Arabidopsis thaliana: one gene and its partners. The protein of the gene in region 4 interacts with the protein of the main gene of each other region in a pairwise test. Each region holds a gene or a part of one and is shown on either strand. Other genes may lie near its edges.

The links.
Region 1: the proteins of YLMG2 (region 4) and AT1G15610 interact in a protein complementation assay, tested with the Arabidopsis thaliana proteins (one large-scale study listed by BioGRID).
Region 2: the proteins of YLMG2 (region 4) and AT1G52550 interact in a protein complementation assay, tested with the Arabidopsis thaliana proteins (one large-scale study listed by BioGRID).
Region 3: the proteins of YLMG2 (region 4) and EMP1 interact in a protein complementation assay, tested with the Arabidopsis thaliana proteins (one large-scale study listed by BioGRID).

What each region holds. Positions count from the first base shown.
Region 1 is NC_003070.9:5,368,273-5,372,358, reverse strand, and holds AT1G15610 (uncharacterized protein), read right to left. Parts: upstream 1,603-4,086; 5' UTR 1,567-1,602; coding exon 1,175-1,566; intron 1,099-1,174; coding exon 973-1,098; intron 894-972; coding exon 680-893; downstream 1-679. Other genes in the region: AT1G15600 (uncharacterized protein), read right to left, coding at 2,598-2,775, 2,879-3,007, 3,081-3,436.
Region 2 is NC_003070.9:19,571,831-19,576,306, reverse strand, and holds AT1G52550 (uncharacterized protein), read left to right. Parts: upstream 1-2,247; 5' UTR 2,248-2,307; coding exon 2,308-2,551; intron 2,552-2,970; coding exon 2,971-3,122; 3' UTR 3,123-3,552; downstream 3,553-4,476. Other genes in the region: AT1G52560 (HSP20-like chaperones superfamily protein), read left to right, coding at 541-820, 1,106-1,524; AT1G52540 (Protein kinase superfamily protein), read left to right, coding at 4,423-4,466.
Region 3 is NC_003076.8:3,423,985-3,430,236, forward strand, and holds EMP1 (Endomembrane protein 70 protein family), read right to left. Parts: upstream 3,914-6,252; 5' UTR 3,814-3,913; coding exon 3,676-3,813; intron 3,196-3,675; coding exon 3,031-3,195; intron 2,929-3,030; coding exon 2,819-2,928; intron 2,724-2,818; coding exon 2,612-2,723; intron 2,529-2,611; coding exon 2,416-2,528; intron 2,336-2,415; coding exon 2,185-2,335; intron 2,084-2,184; coding exon 926-2,083; 3' UTR 704-925; downstream 1-703. Other genes in the region: AT5G10830 (S-adenosyl-L-methionine-dependent methyltransferases superfamily protein), read left to right, coding at 30-665; CBSX3 (Cystathionine beta-synthase (CBS) family protein), read right to left, coding at 5,189-5,331, 5,435-5,495, 5,577-5,650, 5,736-5,817, 5,898-6,158.
Region 4 is NC_003076.8:7,240,221-7,245,097, reverse strand, and holds YLMG2 (YGGT family protein), read left to right. Parts: upstream 1-2,217; 5' UTR 2,218-2,332; coding exon 2,333-2,638; intron 2,639-3,015; coding exon 3,016-3,218; coding exon of another isoform or gene 3,219-3,222; intron 3,223-3,257; exon of another isoform or gene 3,258-3,501; coding exon 3,502-3,748; 3' UTR 3,749-3,897; downstream 3,898-4,877. Other genes in the region: PAA2 (uncharacterized protein), read right to left, coding at 102-266, 355-441, 562-615, 702-799, 1,172-1,249, 1,348-1,969; AT5G21910 (uncharacterized protein), read right to left, coding at 3,971-4,309; AT5G21900 (RNI-like superfamily protein), read right to left, coding at 4,760-4,877. UniProt on the Arabidopsis thaliana protein: Not required for the biogenesis and accumulation of native cytochrome b6 in the thylakoid membrane. Not functionally involved in the pathway for covalent binding of the c-type heme to cytochrome b6.

The DNA of each region.
Region 1 (4,086 bases), on a different chromosome or scaffold from region 4:
GCACAAAGATCGAGTGTTAAATTGTTTAGTTGAATAAAAGTTCGCAACATTGCACTACATTTTGATGTGTGCTTTAATTTAAAGGCTACCTCTGCTCTGCATGCGACCATTCAAGTTTTCATGTATTATTCCACTCCATAATTGACCCCCAAGGCCCCAACTGATGCAAAAACACTAATATTTGGTTACGGCTGATTTCTTCAGTCATATATATGTGAAAAACCAATTAATGGTCTTCACACTCCCATATAGCAGGTTATCTATTAGTGCCCTTAACCGAACCCGATCGAGATTGATTGAAGTCATATCATCTCTATCAAGTAGTTATCATCTTCAGGTTCCTTGTGGGTTGTTTGATAGCATAAGAACATATATGTTATGGGTGCACTCTTAAAAAGAATTGTCGGGCGTGCCACATGCTGTCTCAACATGAAGCGCTTCATCAAGATGGCCAAAGAGGCCTTTTACAATAGACAAACCAGTTGTACATGTTGAAATGCAGATACTGAAATGTTTATCTTGCTGCAGAGATATTGGTACAGAGAAGCCTTTAGTTTCAGTTTTGCCGGCCATTTCAGGAATAGAGGATTCGGTAATGCTAATGACACTTGGCTTTATTTAATAAATAGAAAGAGAGTATTACAACAATTGTTGAAGAAAACAACATGATCCATCATTTTTATCCGCACATTCCAATGATCCACGAAAAGGTTAACGCAAAGAGTCCAATGATGACCAAAAAGAGTGAGAGTAACGAATTAATCATCGTTACTATGGCGGCCACAAGTGCAGTAACAAGGGACACCCCAGGCAACATGAATAACTGTACGGTAAATTGGAAATTAGGAAGCACATATCGAATGCAACTGAAAGCAAGTAGACCCAGCCATAACCTGGAAAAGGACATTTGTTAGTTCTAGAGAGGTAAATTATGTTGTTTAGCCATAATTGTAAATTTAGTTAGATGCGCACCAGAAGTGTCGACTAGTATCTTGACGTGATGATGACTCGGTTAGAATATGCCATAAAGACACCACAATCAAGGACACGAAGAAAGATTCAAGAAAATTTTCCAAACGGTACTCCATCACCTCGTTGCTGCAAATCAATAAAAACCATTGTTGAGGATATCAGTCTCTAATGCCTGAAAAAGAAAAAGAAACACAGTTTATACCTTGTCTCTGAGCTAGCGTTTTGGATATACTGCCATAAACGGCAACATACAAAAGGCAAAGTGGCAATAGAGGCACAAGTATAAAAGATGATCCATGTAAACAAAGCTACATCTAGTTCTGGATCTCGTTCATCTTTTGTTAGAATCAGAAAAAATATGGCTGCAACAATCTGGACCAAAGTCACAGCTAACTCGACCAAAATCCAGAAACTTCCACTTGTAAATGGACAACTCCATTGAAATGCCTCATGTGGAGTTTGCTCATGATCAGCTGATGACGAACCGCCATTGATTGTAATGTCGATGATGTGCTCATCATTTGAGGAAGAATCGCCATGGATTGTAACGTCTTCGACGTTGTGCTCACTCTTGGTTAACAAAGGGCCCTCCATTGATCACTTTTTTGCTTTCTTCTATTTTGTCCAATCGAATTAATAGTTCATCTAAACAAGCGTTGAAATACAAATTACATAAAGCCCTCTCCGATTCTTTGGTGCTAAATTATTATTCTAAGACCCAATCTACGTCAAGATCTATTCTATAAGTCAATTGTAAACTTCTAACGAACAAAAAAAAAGTTAGTCATTCTTCTCTAAATACGAATAATAGACATTTCCAGCTATATTATTATCTTAAGACCTAATCGACACCAATACCAATTCTAAGTCAATCACATAAAGTCCTTTACAATGAGTAGACTTTCGGAGCTACATTTGTTTTGTGTGTTTTTGTTTTACCTACACCAAGACCAATTATTAGTCAATTGTAGCCCGTTAGAGTAAAATTTCAAAATATTTGGTTCTAAATTATAGTCTTCCTAATTCTTTGGTGCTTGATGTATTATTTGGGAAGCTAGAAGAAGTAATATGTCTTTTTTGTAAAAGGAGAAATCTTTGGTGTTAAATTTTATTATTTGGGAAACTATAATATTTTATTATTTTTCTTAGTTATCTTATCTTTGGTGTTAAAGTTATCTATATATCCATTTCGATTTACCCAAATCTGTCAAAATAATAAGGCCTATAAAAGGTTATTCTGAAACACGTGATTATTTGGGTAAATGTCACAATGAGGTAGGACTCGACTCGAAATAAGTCAGATTTTAAAAAGCCCATTAAAGTACGGGCCCTTAAAATACATATCTGAATAGCGAAAACGCACGAATAAGAATGGTCAGTCAAAACTGTCATTTAATGGAGAATAATATTAACGAGGGAGAAAAATAAAATAAAAAGAGGAAATAAGACGAGATGATCATATTTGATCATTTCAAAAAACCTTAGCTACTGTTTTTCTCTACCTTAATAAGATTAAAATCATCAACATGAACACAAAACATTTTTATTCTGGTACTCTGCTTTACTTTGATTTTAAACGCCCATTCTCCTAGGCTTACAAACAAAATATTTTTATTAGTTCGATTTCAGCAGATGCATGATACAATGCATGCTACAATGCCTTTTAAGACTTCCACAGCAAGGAGAACACATATGACCACAGGCGTAAGTAAAAGCAAAGGAGTAGTATAACAGACCATTGCCAATGTTAGATTAAAAAGAACATATCTAATGCAACTGAAAGTAAGGAGAGCCAAACATAACCTGCAAAAGAGACAATGAAGAAGGCCAAAGGCATGAGTATAAGAAAGGTCAATATATACGTTTTAAGGTATACATATGATTGGAAATTTCGTTTGATACGCACCAGAAGTATTGAGTTGTAGTATCATCTAGAGCTGATGAGTCGAATGCTTTGGAAGAAAGAATCCATAAAAACACCACATACCAACCCACGAAGAAACCCGTCATAAAAAAGTCCATATCCTTGTTGATTCTGCAAACCAATAAAACCATTATATCTCAATCTAATGCATAAAAAGATAAAAGAAAACACAATTTATATATACCTTGTCTCTCTTAAGTATTCATCTGTAGATTCGGAGCCAACGCTTCGGTTATAAAGCCAAAAACGCCAACATAGGATAGGGAGAGTGGCAATACAGCCACATGTATAACCGATGATCCATATAGACAACATTGTTTGTGGATGTTCTTCATCTCTTGGCTCAATCAGAACGATTATGACCGCAGCAATCAAGACCAAAGTCACAACAAACTCGATTGAATTACAAATGCTTTCATTTGTGTATGGATCACCCAATTCAACACCCTCGTGTGGTTGCTGACCATCAATTGATGAAGAACTACCATCGCTTGTAATGTCAATGATGTGTTCACACTCGCTCAACAAAGGGCCCTCCATTGATCACTTTTGGTTTTTCCTATTTCTTGCCGATCAAATGAAAAGTTCATTCAAATTTGCGTTGACGAGCACAAAGCATATACCTTTCCTTCTTTGTTGATAAAATTATTAGTATTTTTTTAGACCAGATCAATACTAAGTACGTATTAGTCGTGTTACAAATAAAACATTATTTTGAAAAATGAAGATCAAAGCTGAGATTTCAATGTTTATATATATTGCAGATGTTTTGGACAAGTTAAATTGTTAATAGGTCAAATGATCTGTATGATATTTATTTTCTGTTTTAAGACAGACAACACAAGAAGACAGGATCGTATCTTTCAGTTTCCCACCACTTTTGTTTATTGAATGTGTACAATTACTCTTGAGCGAAAAAAAAATAAAAAAAAAATCAACCTCATCTCATCACCACCTAACTTGTGATTGACAGAGAGGGCATGTGGATTTGATTTTCAGCCATTTGTCTATACATTGCGAATGAAATACGTGTGAGCATTCAAGTTTCCTTAGTCCTACTCCTTTTTCCTCTCCATATTTCCCCAAGCATATGCAACAACTCTGCACACACCATCAAACCATGAAAATTAAACAACAACAACAACAAAAAAATGCTATTTAAAACAGAGTAATTAATGTGATATGAAATT
Region 2 (4,476 bases), on a different chromosome or scaffold from region 4:
TTACCATTAGAAGTTTGGATCGAAACAATTGTTTTTTTTTGTTTTTGATAAAATATTGATCGACACAATTGTTTGACATTCATTTAATGTTCTTAACACAAAACCAAAATCCATATGACTATATTTATATTAATTATGTTGTTAGTTTTGTTGAAATAAGTTATCCAAAAACAAATTTCAAGAATAATTTGAAAGATTTTGGGTCTTTCTACTTTCTAGGAATTGCAAGGTCAAGGCGGTTGGTCTTGTGTCATGATTTTCTTCGTTTTAACTATTCAAAGAAAACAAATATTGATAATAAAATAACCTTGTTGTGATTATCTAGAAAAAGGGCTGTAGAAGAAACAAGAAGCATCTCTGTTTTATGTTCCCAAATGAACCAGAAACTCTTAGAAACTTCTAACACCTCTTAGAAACCAACCTTTTAGCATAAACCCTAATCCCATCTTTATAAACCAAACACTTCTTGCCTTTTTCTTGCAAACTCACAAAAAAGAAGACAAGAAGACAAAAATTAAGAAATTTACCGATTTGAAAACAATGGCTCTAGCTCGTCTGGCTTTGAGAAACCTTCAACAAAAACTGTCTCCTAGTTTGATGGGTCAATCTTGTGAAAGAGGTTTGGTCGGAAATCGACATAATCCAATGAAGCTAAACAGATTCATGGCTACTTCGGCTGGTGAACAAGAGGATAAGATGAACACAGAAGTGAGTGTGTCTGAGAAGAAATCTCCTCGACAGAATTTCCCCCGGAGACGTGGCCGAAAAAGCCTCTGGCGTAACACCGACGATCATGGCTACTTCACTCCCACCCTAAATGGTACGTTTGTCATTTTAGTTCATTATTGATATACCTATTTAGCAGAAAATTTCAATAGTGTCACAATAATAATATTTTCGAAATAAATTATATAAAAAAAATTCAACATTTAAGTGTAAAATATATCCCATAAAAGAAAAATTAAGAAGAAAATTTGAAATTCTAGAATCATAAAAATACATCAAATTTTAAATTTACATTTTCATTGCATTAAATCTCATGAAACATAATTAATGTAAACCTCTATTTTTGCTTGAATTGAATTTTTTCTTCTTCTTAAAACAGAGTTCTTTCCTCCGACTATAGGAAATACTCTGATACAAGCAACAGAGAATATGAACAGAATTTTCGACAACTTCAACGTGAATCCATTCCAACTAATGGGTCAAGTGAAAGAGCAAGACGACTGTTACAAGCTCAGATACGAGGTTCCAGGGCTAACCAAAGAAGACGTGAAGATCACGGTAAATGATGGAATCTTGACGATTAAAGGAGATCACAAGGCGGAGGAAGAGAAAGGCTCACCTGAGGAAGACGAGTACTGGTCTTCAAAGAGTTATGGTTACTACAACACGAGCTTATCGTTGCCTGATGATGCTAAGGTTGAGGACATTAAGGCGGAGCTCAAGAATGGTGTGCTTAATCTTGTGATTCCTAGGACGGAGAAGCCAAAGAAGAATGTTCAGGAGATTTCTGTTGAGTAGAAGAGATACGGTGTCGTTTTTGTGTTCTTTGATGGACTAAGCAAATTAATGTTGTACCTTTTTTATGTTTATGCGAATGGAATCAGTTATTAAGTTGCTAATTAACTTAGTTCATTTGCGCAAACAAAAGAAGCTAGAAAATACATTATAGACTAATTGAACAAGCAAAGAATGAACCAGTTTTGTGTTTGTAATGAGAATGGAATAAATTGTTATTCAGCATAGTTAATTTTCGCAAAAGAAAGAAGCCAAAATTAATTAAAAGAAGCAGCAAATGTTGTGTCCCTTTTATGTTTTCTATGCGAATGGCTCAATGGAGTAAATTGCTAATTCACGTCATGAACACAAAAATGTTGATATATTAAACAAGAAGTCCATTTTTGTACCTCATATCAAAATTTTATTTGTAAATTTTGTATTAATAATTGTGGATTTGCTATACTATACTATGAAATATTTTTCTTTATAGACAAGTTATGTTATACATTAAATTATTTATTTATTAATAAGTACAGTATTTTAGTGTATTGTCAGAGTTCAGTTTCTTTAAAGAAAACACAATATTTTTTTTTTTTGTCGTCAAGAAAACACAATATTTATGTTAAACAAAAATGCATGATATTTCAATAGTTTGTGGAAAATTATAGAAAATATTTCATTTTCCTTCTTTTAGTTTGGTATTAAGAAGGAAAAAACCAAAAACATTTTTTTGATAATGTATACATAAATTAAAATTAAAATAATGAGAAAACAAAACAAGGTCCAAAATACCTTGTGAAGAAAATGGCGACGGCGTTTGCCAACACGACTTCAAGCTCCAACCTTTACCTCCATCGCTGCCGTAAAAACCATCCTCTTCCATCTCCGTCGTTCTTTTCACCGTTCCGGTCGTCTCCACTTCCTTCTCAGACCCTTTTCCTCGTCCCCACTCCAAAACCTGTACGACGCATCGCGGTCGCTCCTCTCGGCCCTCCAACGCCGCCTAGTCCCGACCCACCTCCGCCTAAAAACACGACTGAGCTCACAAGTTCGTCTTTCCCTTCTTACCCTTAAAACTTCAATGTTTCAACTCTGAGTTCTGATTTTGTTTACTGCCAATTCTATTTTTCAATCTTTCCTAATTCGATGAAATTGCATTACGGAATTCGAATTAGGAGAATGAAGGTGGTTTAACTGCTATTGATTCGTAGATAAAGATGTTAATCTTAGTCCTCAAGATCGATTACTGTTCATTGCTAAAGTTTTGATCTTTGTGACAATTTATAGACTTTTACTCTTGTTAAGCATTAAGGATTTATAAATCTCCTCCTTTTACAACTTGTGAATGTCTTCCAAAAGTTCCACCATTTTCTTTTCCCTACAGGTTTAGTCATTGGTTGCAATACGAGAGCAATCTTCTTAACAATTTGGATTCATAGTTGTTGTTTGGTATCACATTTTGTGTAGGTCTTGTGGGAGTAGCGTCGATGATTCAAGACCGTGTAAAGATCTTTCTTTCAGTACTAATTTGGATCTCTCTCTTCTTTTGGGCTTCGGCTTTACAAGGAAGAGGCAGCAAAGGTAATGGTAAAGGGAAGAAGGGTTCACGCTTCAAATAGTATTAGTTAGATTGGTGTGGTGATGATGATGATGATTGATGAAAACTCCTCTACACGTTTGTGTATATATACAGAGGAAATATTCTTCCAAGTAAAGCAAATTTCTTGTCAGACTACAGTTTTATACTAGAAACTAGATTGTTCTCTTCTTACGATATCTCTAGCTTAGAGCTATAGAGATTACTCTACTGTGATGAAACTAAAGTAGTTTGCATTTAAGTCAAAATGCCAAATCAATATCATTGTTTATTGAAAGCTGTTTCAGATTGTAAATGACTAGATGTGTTTGGTGTGTGCTTGATTCAGCCAAACGGTAAACCGCACCGTTTCTTTGATTTGAATGTTTGTTGTATAAAATGGGCCTTTAGATATGTTATATAACTTGTTTGGGCTTCAACATACTCTTTTATTGGGCCTCTCTATATAATATAATATTTCCAAAGTTGTATTTAATTATTATTTGATTTATATTTAAAACAGTGGTTGTTTATTCATGATATGAAAAAAGAAATAACTGGATTTAGGTAAACCTTATTCAATACTGGGACAATGAATTAACCAGCTCATGATTAGTTGGACCTGTTTTGGTTAAAGGCTGGTAGTAAGTTTAGAAACAGAAATTTATGATAAGAGCCTAACATTTTGTTCTGACCACACTGAGTAATTTAACAATCTATCTAAATTAAGATTTTATGCTATGTTTAATTTATATTTGTTCTGATTATAGCAAATAAATTTCCATATCTAGAGATCTTCTTCATACACAATAAAAAAAACTAGTATTTGAACTTTTGTATGTATTAAAAATTGCAAGATTTTGTAAGTACAGATTCACCAAGGTGAGGTGTGTGATTAGGAAACTTTGATTAGTTGTCATGTGTCATCAACAGGCCATGAAAAGGAAATCTTTGAAATTCAAAAAACAATACCTTTTGATGAAATTATTACTATATAAATACTATATGTGACTATGTGTGGATATGCACAATCATTCCCACTAATAGTTTAATAAAGTGTATAATTTTTTTCAAATTAAAACAGCTAAACACACACAACCACATTCAAAAAGGGGTTAAGCATTGAAGAATATTCTAAGAAAATTTGTTTCTCTTCTTACAGAAGTAAAAGCGACTCTCTCTCTCATTAAGCATCAAAGGAGTTTCGTTTTTCTTGCTTTGCTGTTACATTCTTCAGGAAAAAGGCGTTACCTTTACTCTCTCTGCATCAACGAGGAAGCGTGTAGAGCTAAAGGAGCTGAATTTGAGAGATTTTTTTGTTTTGTTTCTGGGTTTGTTCAAAGATGCAAATTTTTAGTTGTTTCTGCTGTGGAAAAGGATTTGATCGGTATGTATGG
Region 3 (6,252 bases), 3.8 Mb from region 4:
ATTTGACAAATTTCGCCTCCATTTTGCAGGTTGCAGAGCATTACGAGAGTGTCGTAGCAACGGACGTGAGTGAATCGCAGCTGAAGCTAGCAACGCCACATCCGAAAATCAATTATCGCCATACGCCGACGTCAATGACCGACGACGAGCTAGTGGAATTAATCGGAGGAGAAAACTCAGTGGATCTAATCACGGTCGCCCAAGGCGTACACTGGTTCGATCTCCCTAGGTTCTACTCAGTGGCCACACGACTCCTCCGTAAACCAGGCGGAATCATCGCTGTCTGGGGATACAACGACGTCATAGTGAGTCCAGAGTTCGACGCCGTCCAGTATCGGCTCCACGCCACAACGCTGCCGTTTTGGAAGTATCCGTACATTCAGCACATCTTCGATTCGTACGAAGCATTGCCGTTTCCTTTCGAAAATGTTGGGATGGGATCAGAAGGGGAGCCATTAAAGCTGGAGATGCCTAAAACGACGTCGTTTGAAGGGATCATAAGGATGTTTAAATCATGGTCGGCCATCGTCACGGCGAGAGAGAAAGGCGTCGAGTTGTTACCGGAGAGTTTGGTGAGAGAGCTTGAAACCGCTTGGGGAGGTTCTGATCTGGTTCGTTCCGTCGTTTACAAAGCTTTTATGATTGCAGGAAAAGTTAGAGTTTGATATCACCAAACCATGATTGATTGTTGTTCTCATTTGAGTTTATTTATAAAAATTGGTTATATTGCAAAAATTCTCAGAAAGTGTTGTTATTTGACAAATCAAACAAAATACACTCTATTACATATATTAAAATCTCTTTTGGTATGCAACAAAATAGAACCTAAAATGCAACAAAACCGATTTTAAAAAGAAAAATAAGATAAACTATGATCACCTTTTCTTCTTTGTTTCCTTAATCGCCATGATGATCATCATATCCTCTAATCGATCTTAACAGAGGAATAGATGAGCCTTGTGAACCAGAGACAAGCATAGAACCCTATTGTTCCTGTGAGCACAAAAAATGCGTAGGAGGCGATGAGCATGTACCCAAAGTAAAGCATCGCAGAGACCAGTTTGGTGATCTGAAGCTTTGTGAAGAAGTAGAACGTGGCATAGAGGAAGAGGTAGAGAGCTGATGAGCCTGATGTGAGGTATGATCTCCACCACCAAAGGTAGTCCTCACTGCAAAGCTGGAAGTAGCAGAGTACTACGGTTATCTCGGCGCAAGTCACAATGAGGATTACAAAGACGAGGAAGAGGAACCCAAAGATGTAGTAGAACTGGTTGAGCCAGATGGATGTGAGGATGAAGAAGAGCTCGATGAAGACTGCACCAAACGGTAAGATTCCTCCAATGAGGATTGAGAAAACCGGGTTCATGTACCAAGCTTGCTCTGGGATTTGCCTCGGGATTTTGTTGGTTTTCACTGGGTCATCAGCCGCTGGCTTCTTGAACCCAATGTAACCCCCAACAAAGACGAGAGGAACTGAGATGCCAAACCAGAGGAAGATCAAGGCGAACATTGTTCCAAAGGGGACAGCCCCAGATGACTTCTGTCCCCAGATGAGAGCGTTTAGGACAAAGAAGATTGCTGACACAACTGCAGGAAACAAGAAGGCTGTTCTGAAAGCGATTCTCTTCCACTCTGTTCCTTTGAACATTTTGTAGAGACGTGAAGAGGCGTAACCAGCAAAGAGTCCCATGAAGACCCAGAGCAAGAGCATTGCAGTCATCAGACCACCCCGATTGGAAGGGGAGAGAAATCCGAGCATGGCGAAGATCATTGTGACAAATACCATGCCTAGACACTGGACCCCTGTTCCAACATAGACGCAGAGCAGATCAGAATTGGTAGGAAGTCTGAAAACATCACCATGGACAAGCTTCCATCCTGTCTCTTCTTGAGCTTCTTCTTGAGTCTCGAGCTCGTTGTATCGTGAAATGTCACGGTAAAGGGTCCTCAGCATTATCATTGCCACCATACCAGATAGGAATAGGACGATCATCAGAGAATTGACGATAGAGAACCAGTGGATTTGGTTATCACTCATCAGAAGATAAGTATCCCATCTAGATGCCCACTTCACTTCACTTTCCTGGACAGAAACAGAAGAGGAAATCAGAAAAACTATTGAAAACAAGAATTCATGAAATTTTTTTAAGACACAAACCGCAGATTACTTAAGAAAAAACTTGCCTGGAAATCGACGTCATATGTGAAGATAATCTCCTTCTTTTGTTCAACTTCTTGAGGGGTAGCCGAGCTAACGACCAGGCGTTTCGTGTGAGGATCACAAGTCGTCAGACGGGTCTTCTCACTCCACTCTCCCTCATACTCATGCTTCACACTACAAATCAACGGAGGGAATATCAGTTCTGAATGACAGGGGATCCCAAGAGACATTCAAATTATGAACAAGAACTGCACCTGTAAGGTTTAACCTCAAATCCCACGATTCTTGCAGCATCAGTTTGGATATCTCTGTGATAGCGGACTGTAAATGCCAAGTGATTGTGCATAAAGAACTTCTGCTCTTTGCTCTGCGTATGCAAAAACAAAATTAGAAAATCGAACGATCTAGCATGAATTCCATTTAGTGTCTTAACAATTAAAACCTACTTACCCCCTCGTACTGGCCTTTAAGACCAACATGATAACCAAGCTGATAAACAACAGAGGGAGAACCCTGGTCGACTCTTTCAATTGGAACAACCAGAGGAAGGTTGTCGAGGATCCTAACACAGACCAGAAACACTTATAATAAAACTGACAGAGAAAAGCATGTTCTTCATACAAATAATCAAAGAAAAGTGCCTGTATTTGGTCTTACATGTTGACCCGGTACTCATCATCGATCTTTTCTTTAAACGCTTTAGCTGTCTTGGCATCAAGAGTGACCCGGCCGAGAATATTGCACATTTGTGCCTCCCGCATTTTAAACTGCAATTGTTTCAGCCCCGCAAGGGTTAGAGTTAAATCACAGACATAATATTTTTGACAGCCTGATGAATTACAAAATTAAAAATTGAATACGAGACTAACCGAGTATGGGGCATTCTCAATCCGGTCACCCCGAAGCACTTCTCCAAGATTCTCAGTACTGTCCACAATCTTGCTAGGGCGACAAAAAGGAAGGGAGTAATACGAGTATGGAAGCTGAGTCTTTATGGAAGTTAATTTATTCACTTTCACCTTCAGCTCATCACCCTGCAACATACAAGAAAACAAGACTCAAAATTTGAATATGATTTTGAAGTGAAACATGCAAGTCTACTTTGATTGAGACTCGTCATATAACATGCAGGACCGACATTGCCCTTGTACCCATAACTTGGATTTCGTAGTAATGGCAAGCGAATCAAGAGCGAGAGATCACTAAGAACCTAACAAAGGTAATCAAAATTACAGCGAATAAGGCTAATCCAGAAGAATAAATATCGATATAGCTCGCCTAAGACGCTACATTGTTCAGATCGAGAGATTAGTGAAGCGGAAATGAAGTGAAATCACCAATTCTATTAGAAAAATAGCTAAACCAAAAGTCGGTGCATCAGCACTCCAACTCTCACTATCTCTAGCTTTCTCGGGAATCAAGAACGGATTAATCCTAGCGGAAATCGAAACGCAGATCCAGGAGATCCAAATCAGATCTAAAAGCCTAGAAGCACAAATTCGAAACGTTTTTACCTTCTCGAAATCCTGAGGAGCAACACCTGGGAGATAGAATGAGTGAGCTCCATGGATGAAGAGCAGAAAAATCAAAGCGATCGCGCATCCAGAAGATTCCAATATTCTTCTACTGCTCCTCAGAAACTCCATAGCCATGGCTGTTCCACACGAAGGAAGAAAATAACCAGATCTGAAGCTACGCTACAGTTGTATTTGACTCTTATACGCTTCGAGACTCGAGACCAAGACCCGCCTCTAATTGTGATTTAATACTTCCCGGTTTATTTTTCCGGTTTGGCTCGTTTATGTTTGATCCTTATCAACCATTAATAATTCACCACGTCACTACGCATGAAGTCTTTCTACGAGCTATAAGCCTACATAACCAATGGGCCTAACTCGATAAGCCCACCCTAGGATAAACCAATCCGATAAACCATGATTAATTAAAGTCAATCAAGATTTTTAAGCATTTGCTATACATTTTTAAGATTGTGTTAAAATGTGGTCTCAATATAATCGATAGAGAGAAAATGGGCGACGCCGCCGGAGGCTTGAGATCTGAAACGCAAGATGTGACCATGACGGACCTAGGAGAGAAAGGTCATTCTCCGGGAGACCCTCCTGATGCACCGGGTTCGTGGGTGAAGAAAGTGGTGGGGGGACATTTAGGTGGTATCCTAAATCCGAATGATATCTTAGATGATGAGTTTGTGTCTGAGCAAATGACACTGGAGTTCCCTGATGGTGAGGATGGAGAACCAGTGATAACAATTGGCAGTGAGGTATTGGCGGCGATGAATGGTTTGTTGAAGAACAGCTTGATCGTGAAAGTGCCCGGGCGTAACATGACAATATCAGCATTAAGTAGAAAGCTTCGAGAGATGTGGAAACCACGAGGAGCAATGTCTGTTGTGGATCTCCCTCGTAAGTTTTTCATGATTCGGTTCGAAGCGGAGGAGGAATACATGGCAGCGTTGACAGGAGGTCCATGGAGGGCGTTTGATCGCTATCTCATGGTGCAAGCTTGGTCACCGGAGTTTGATCCCTTGAGAGACGATATTGTGACCACACCATAATCGATTTGATTTGAAGAAAATCTATCGTTTTATATTTTGCCTTGGTTTACTTGTTTGTATTCAAAGAATTGGTTTACTTGTTAAGATATTTTTCATGGTCCAAAGACACGGAAACTTTGTACCGAAATCAAATTTTCAAAGTAATTCTATTATTTCATAACACACATGGATACTTGACGCAAGATTTGATAACAAAAACAAACATCATATCTTTCATAAAGAGATCAGAGTTTTTGGTTTTATTCTCTTGCTAAGTAAGCGCAAGAAGAGAAGCAGCACAAGGCCTTAGTTTTGACAAGTTAAACAACGAAACAACACAAAACATCAAACACAACAACAACAACAATAACAACGAGGACTGCATATTTACACTGATCTGGAAGCTTTTCAGATTCAGCAGCACAAGACCAGACGACACAACAGGGAACTCTTTTCTTTCCATTATTCAAGATCTAGTAACCTCCCTGAATATACGCATTTAGGCGTTGAAGCTCCTCTCTATGCTCATGAACCACTGCACGGACAACATCTCCTATGGACACCATTCCAATCATGCCCTTGTCTTTGATTACCGGAATATGCCTGATTCGGTTATCTGTACATTACAAAAACACAAACCCGCATTTTTATTTGCTTCAGTAGGTTTTAAACCCAAAAGCTTGTATCTTTAGTGGAAAAATATCAAGTTGTCTGCTTACCTGTCATCAGTTGCATAGCACGCAAGACCTTGGTCTCCGGTGTCACAGTGATAAGCTTATTCTGCAATTGCCAGTTCACAGATCCAGTCAGTTTCAATCCACAAAAGCAAAAAAAAAATCGTACAATCGTGCATTTACATACCTCTTCAGTCATAATGTCTCCAACTTTTGTTGATTTGGATGATCTCCCTTGCACAATGATCTTCCGTAGATAATCTAGAGAAATCACAATGCCGAAAAGTGAATCACACATACCACAAGACACAACAAAAAAATTATTAATGATTAGATCTAATTTTACCTCTCTCTGTAATGATACCAGCAAGAGCTTGTTGCTCACCAGGTTTCACAACCACCAAGGCACCAACATTGTGTTGTGTCATCTAAACAAAATCAAACACAATCAATTCCAAATCCACATCGAGATATCTAAAAAAGGAAAAAGAGAGTAGTATAAGCATACGGATTTAACAGCATCATAAACAGTGTCATCAGTAGTACACCAAAGCCAAGATCCATCAGCACTTTTGCCTTTGGATTTCATGACATCGGAAATAGTTGTGCTCTCGAATCCAGATTCCTCCATACGTGCAGGTTGAGTTGATTCAGAGCGTGAACAAAACACAGAAGGCTGAATCGCCGGGTTAATCACACGGAGATGTTGCAGCACAGAGCCTTTCACAACATTTCCACCGGAGACGAAGGATCGAATCACACCTTGCATCTTTCAACTGTCAACAACCAAATAATCAGTTCCTCAAAACGAGATCTATAAAATCAAGAGCTAAAAGAACGAGTCTAATGAAACTAGATCGAAA
Region 4 (4,877 bases):
TTTCGGAAACCCACACTATTATCTTTTGCTATGATCAGACAATTCAGCATGGATAAGCAACTAGGGAAATCGTAAGATGTCAGAAAGACAGAAACACTTACATCGACAGGAAATGTCTCACCAGGCAAAACCAATAGCGAGTCTCCAACTCGGATATCATCAACTGACACATTGATGCAAATTGAATCAGAGGAAAGTACAGAATCCACTGGGGTGTTATTGTCTGATGAAGTAATCACAAGTCTTGATTGAGTGGAGATGAGTGACTGCAAAAATACGTTTCAAGTCAAAAAAAAGGGAGGAAAAAGCCTACAAGTTAATCTTGGGAGGAGAATCAAGAAATGTCTAACATACCAATAGTTCATTCATATCGGTAGATGCTTGAAGCTTTGCTCTTTCTTCCAAAGAACGACCAAGGAGCACAAAGCCAAGCAGCATGACCTGCATACTAAATGACAAGAGCTATCAATCAGAAATTTACTATTGAAACTGTATTTTGCATGTAGTGGAAGTAATAATAAAAAGCTTTCATCCTCTTGTGGATCTGCTAGAGAAACTCACCGGTTCATCGAAGAAGGAAGCATCCCACTCCAGTTCTGGATTAACTAGTGAGATCTGCAAAATTCAGAATGCAGAAACTGCAGGTTTTCAGAATAGGATACTCACCAGTCAAATATAAATTACAGGGTACAAAAACTCACCAAACTGATGGAAAATGCAGCCATGGATCCCAATCCAACTAACGAGTTCATATTAGGTGATCTTTTCCCGAAAGCTTTTATGCCATCAAACAGCAATTCTACAATATACATCTATCTGTTTCAGTCATTTGTGTTTCCGAACAGCCTCAAATATCACTACCACCACTTTGTTATGAAAGTCGCAAAGAATAGTAGGAACCATCACTATCACTTAAGAAGTTTGAAAATTCAGAGTTTCTCTCTTATGACAACGACGACTCAATTAAGCTAACCATTATCCATAAGAAGAACTGATTCAACAAAGCTCACCTATATAATCAGAGTAGAACACTAGCACTTATCTAAGTCTAAACAATAGCCTAAGAACGACTACTTTGTCATCTCTCTCTTATGATACTAATTACTAAACTTATTATGCATTAGCTGGTAAGAATCATAGATTCGAACTAAAAGTTTAAACAAAAGCAAACCTCTTCCTGGTCCCAACAAAGCTCCAACGGCCAAACCACCTTTCACGTAAGAGTTGTGTAGCAAATCCCAAATCCCTCCTAGTAACATCAGGTGCAAGAGAAAGTCATAAACTACATCTCTTATCCAACAAATGACATCTAGCATCACAATTTTTTTTGCATTATAATCAATGTACCATGAGCAATGTGAATTCCCAAGGAATGAAGAATATGCGAAGTGTGAGACCCGCAACACAGAGCCACCAATGTCCACGCAAACGCCACACGGTTCCTGCTCTTAACAAGCAAGTCCTCTTTCTTACTTACCATCTCCTTCCACTTCTTCACATTCTCCGCCACTCCCATACCCGAGACTCTCCTCTTAGCCTCAAAACCACTCTCTGTCAATCTCTTAGCTAAACTCTCTGCCGTATCCGCCGTCACCTCAACCTCCGGTTTAAACTTCACAGCCGCGGTTTCAGTCAGCATGTTAACCACAGCAGACGCGACTCGATCATCAGACATCAAAACCGATTTAACTCGGGCGACGCAGCCACCACACATCATCCCACTCACATCGAGGAGAATAGGCGTGTCGCTCGTAATGGATTTCACAGATTCGATTGAAGATTCAGTAGATTCAAATGATTGAGTACTTATCTCGACCGAGTTTGATACTAAAAAAAAAGGTCGCGAACAGTGCCGCCGGATACGAGAACGGCGCAGTCTTGGAAAGCATCGGTTCACGAGGAACTTACTTGGACGAATATGAAGACTCGATGGCGGAGGAAGAGGAAATCGGAGAAGATTGCTCGCCATTTTCTCCGGCGAGACAGACGACGATAGTCACGCGATGTATACAAGTAAGAAACTAGTGGTGGACTGGTGTATGGTTCGTTAAAAAGAGTATCGCTAAACGTTGACACGTCGGATTTGGAATATATCCGAACATTAGCCATTTTTGTGGAATTTTTAAAAAGCCAGGCTGTCACCAGAAAAATCAGAGAGAGACATAAAACGCAAAGTTTTAATAGGTAAGACCTTCTAACTCAGCTAGAGGATTACAGCCCCCGGGACACAGCGATGCCACGTGTCATCTTCCTGAAATATTGTTTTTTGTTTGGAGGTAACTTTATCTTCTCAAGCTTTCTTCTTCTACAACACATCTAGAGCTTTGCAACAATGGAGGCGAGTGCGAATGAACCAGCTATGAAAAGCTTGAAATCCAATCCTTCAGGACCGATACCGAACTTTTTCGTATCGCTCTCTTCGGCATTTACGCAAACACCTCTTGTGCGTTCGAACAAACCCAATTTGCTTCTTCTACCACCAGTTGCAGACTCCGTCAAATTGATTCAAGACTTTCATCAGTCTCTGATTTCTGCTACTGAGAAATTTAAAGGATTCCTCCATTCGCTCGCCTCTAAGAACCCTCTCTTTCAGGAAGCGGTTCGCCTATCTTCCGAATTTCACATTTTGTGCGACGAGGTAACTTCTCTTAGCCTGCTTATGCTAAAGAATGTTATGGATTAAGTTAAGAAGATGATTGTGTGTTTCTCATGAACTTGCCTTGGCTCTGATTGTTACTGTAATGGGTGAATCTTTGTGGTTTCTATTTATACAAAATGGGTCATTCTTTAACAGCCAGTAGATTGTTGTCTAGATCATTTAGCATTTATTGGAAAACCTTCTCACATTGATAACCCTGAGTTATATATGTCCTCAAGTTGGGATCTTTTTTGGTTCTTTTCTTGTAAAGATGAAACTTGGCTTCTGGATAAGTCCGGTTATGATTTTGTGTGCCTTTGCTTCTGGTTTTGGGTTCTTTATGTCTTAAAGATGAAGATCATTTTGTTGCATTGCAGATTCGTTTGAGAAACACTACAAGGGTGAGGTTTGCGATGTCTAATCACGGATTTGCAGCGGTTCTGCCTGGAGATTCAGTTGCAGGATTGGTGGTTGCTAATGGTTTGATCAATTTCCTCAACATATATAACACCATCCTTGTCGTCCGTCTAGTACTCACCTGGTTCCCGAGTGCTCCTCCTGCCATTGTTAACCCCCTCAGGTAAAACGTTGCCTTCAAATGCCACAATGATTTTATATCTTATCCAGGTTTAAAAGTTTTCGATCAATCCATGAAAACAAAATCTAGATCATAGAAGTCCTATTCGTGATTGTTGAAGGTAGTCTTTTTACTTGATTTAGAGGAAATTTATTTTGGATAAACTCTGTCTACTACTTTTTTGTCCAACTCTTAAATGGATTAAAGATTGGTTAAACCCTGATTGATCTGCCCAGGAACCCTAGTTGATTCCTATTTATGTGTATATGCGTTACCATTGTTTCAGCACTTTATGTGATCCATACTTGAACATTTTCCGGGGATTCATACCGCCTCTTGGAGGATTAGATTTGTCTCCCATTTTGGCGTTCCTTGTTCTCAACGCCTTCACCAGCTCGGCTATGGCACTTCCTTGCGAACTCCCGTCAGCTGATGGAGCCGTTTCTCCAGCTTCTAGTGAGACAAAGTGGGTGAGAAGGAGAAGGTTGAGCAGCCACAAAGACCACAGACCGAGCTCAGCTTCTATGACCTGAACCTGTCTAAAATATCTACTCTTTTCTGCGCTTCAAATGTAAAATCTACCTTTCGAGTAATTTTATTACTCTGTATCTTTGGATTTCTGAGTTTTGTATAAATTTTCTTTAGAAAATGAATAAAAGAGTTGTGTTCCTGACATACAGAAATATTGTAAAAATTTTGCAAGAGATGAGCTTTTCTTCTTCATTTGTGGCATCAAAACAACTTTCGCTCAGATTCTAACCAGAGGCTTTGCATATCAAGACGAAAACAAGAAGGATGAGGATGACAAGCAATCCACCAAACGAACCACATAGCCTGTGAATCCAGTAAGGATCAAACCTGGTCAAGCTCGGGTCACTGTACAAGGACAAGGCTATGGCTAAAATCAACAAGAGGAGAAGCAGAGAGAAGGAAAACATAAAGCTGAAGAGTTCTTCTTCCTCTTCTAGATCTTCCTCTGATAATCTGTCGATGTAGAGTGGTGAGAGCACGGCTAGTACCGACAAGCTTATGGCCAAAAGCTTCCTGGAAGTAGTAAACCTCCCCATCATCGGGCTGGATGATCCCGTTTCCATCAGAAAAATGCCAGTACAAAATATATAAAAACAACTGGTAACTTTCTTTACAATCCCCGGTTGGTGTTCATCTGAACTAAAATGGCTTGTTTCTTGGTAAGAATCTGAACACAAGTTGCAGGATTGTTTCAAAAAGCCGTTTAGATGGTATGGTTTAGCTATTTACTCAAAAAGAGAAGAGAGAAAGAAGATTCTTTCGTTTCTGGTGAACAGTTGTGACCACACACTGCTAAAAATATTCCAAGGGATCATATGCTTAAAACTTTTCTTCTCTTTCTATTAGTTCAATCTTTTTACAAAAAGCTGATTCTAAAAGACATTGTAACATTGTTCATATATCACTATCTTTTTTTCTTTACTATGAACCTGTACAACAGCTATAATTTGGTCTAACAATGAAGAAAGGTCATCAATTCAAAGCTATATATACAAACGCCAGTTGTCTACTCATCAGAAGAACTTGGCACCTACACTTGGGTAAAAGTTATCAAGGTGAGCATAGAGTGAAGTCAGTTTCAATCCGGTAATATGAACGTCTGATCTTGAAAGTTCTTCAAGATATGTATCC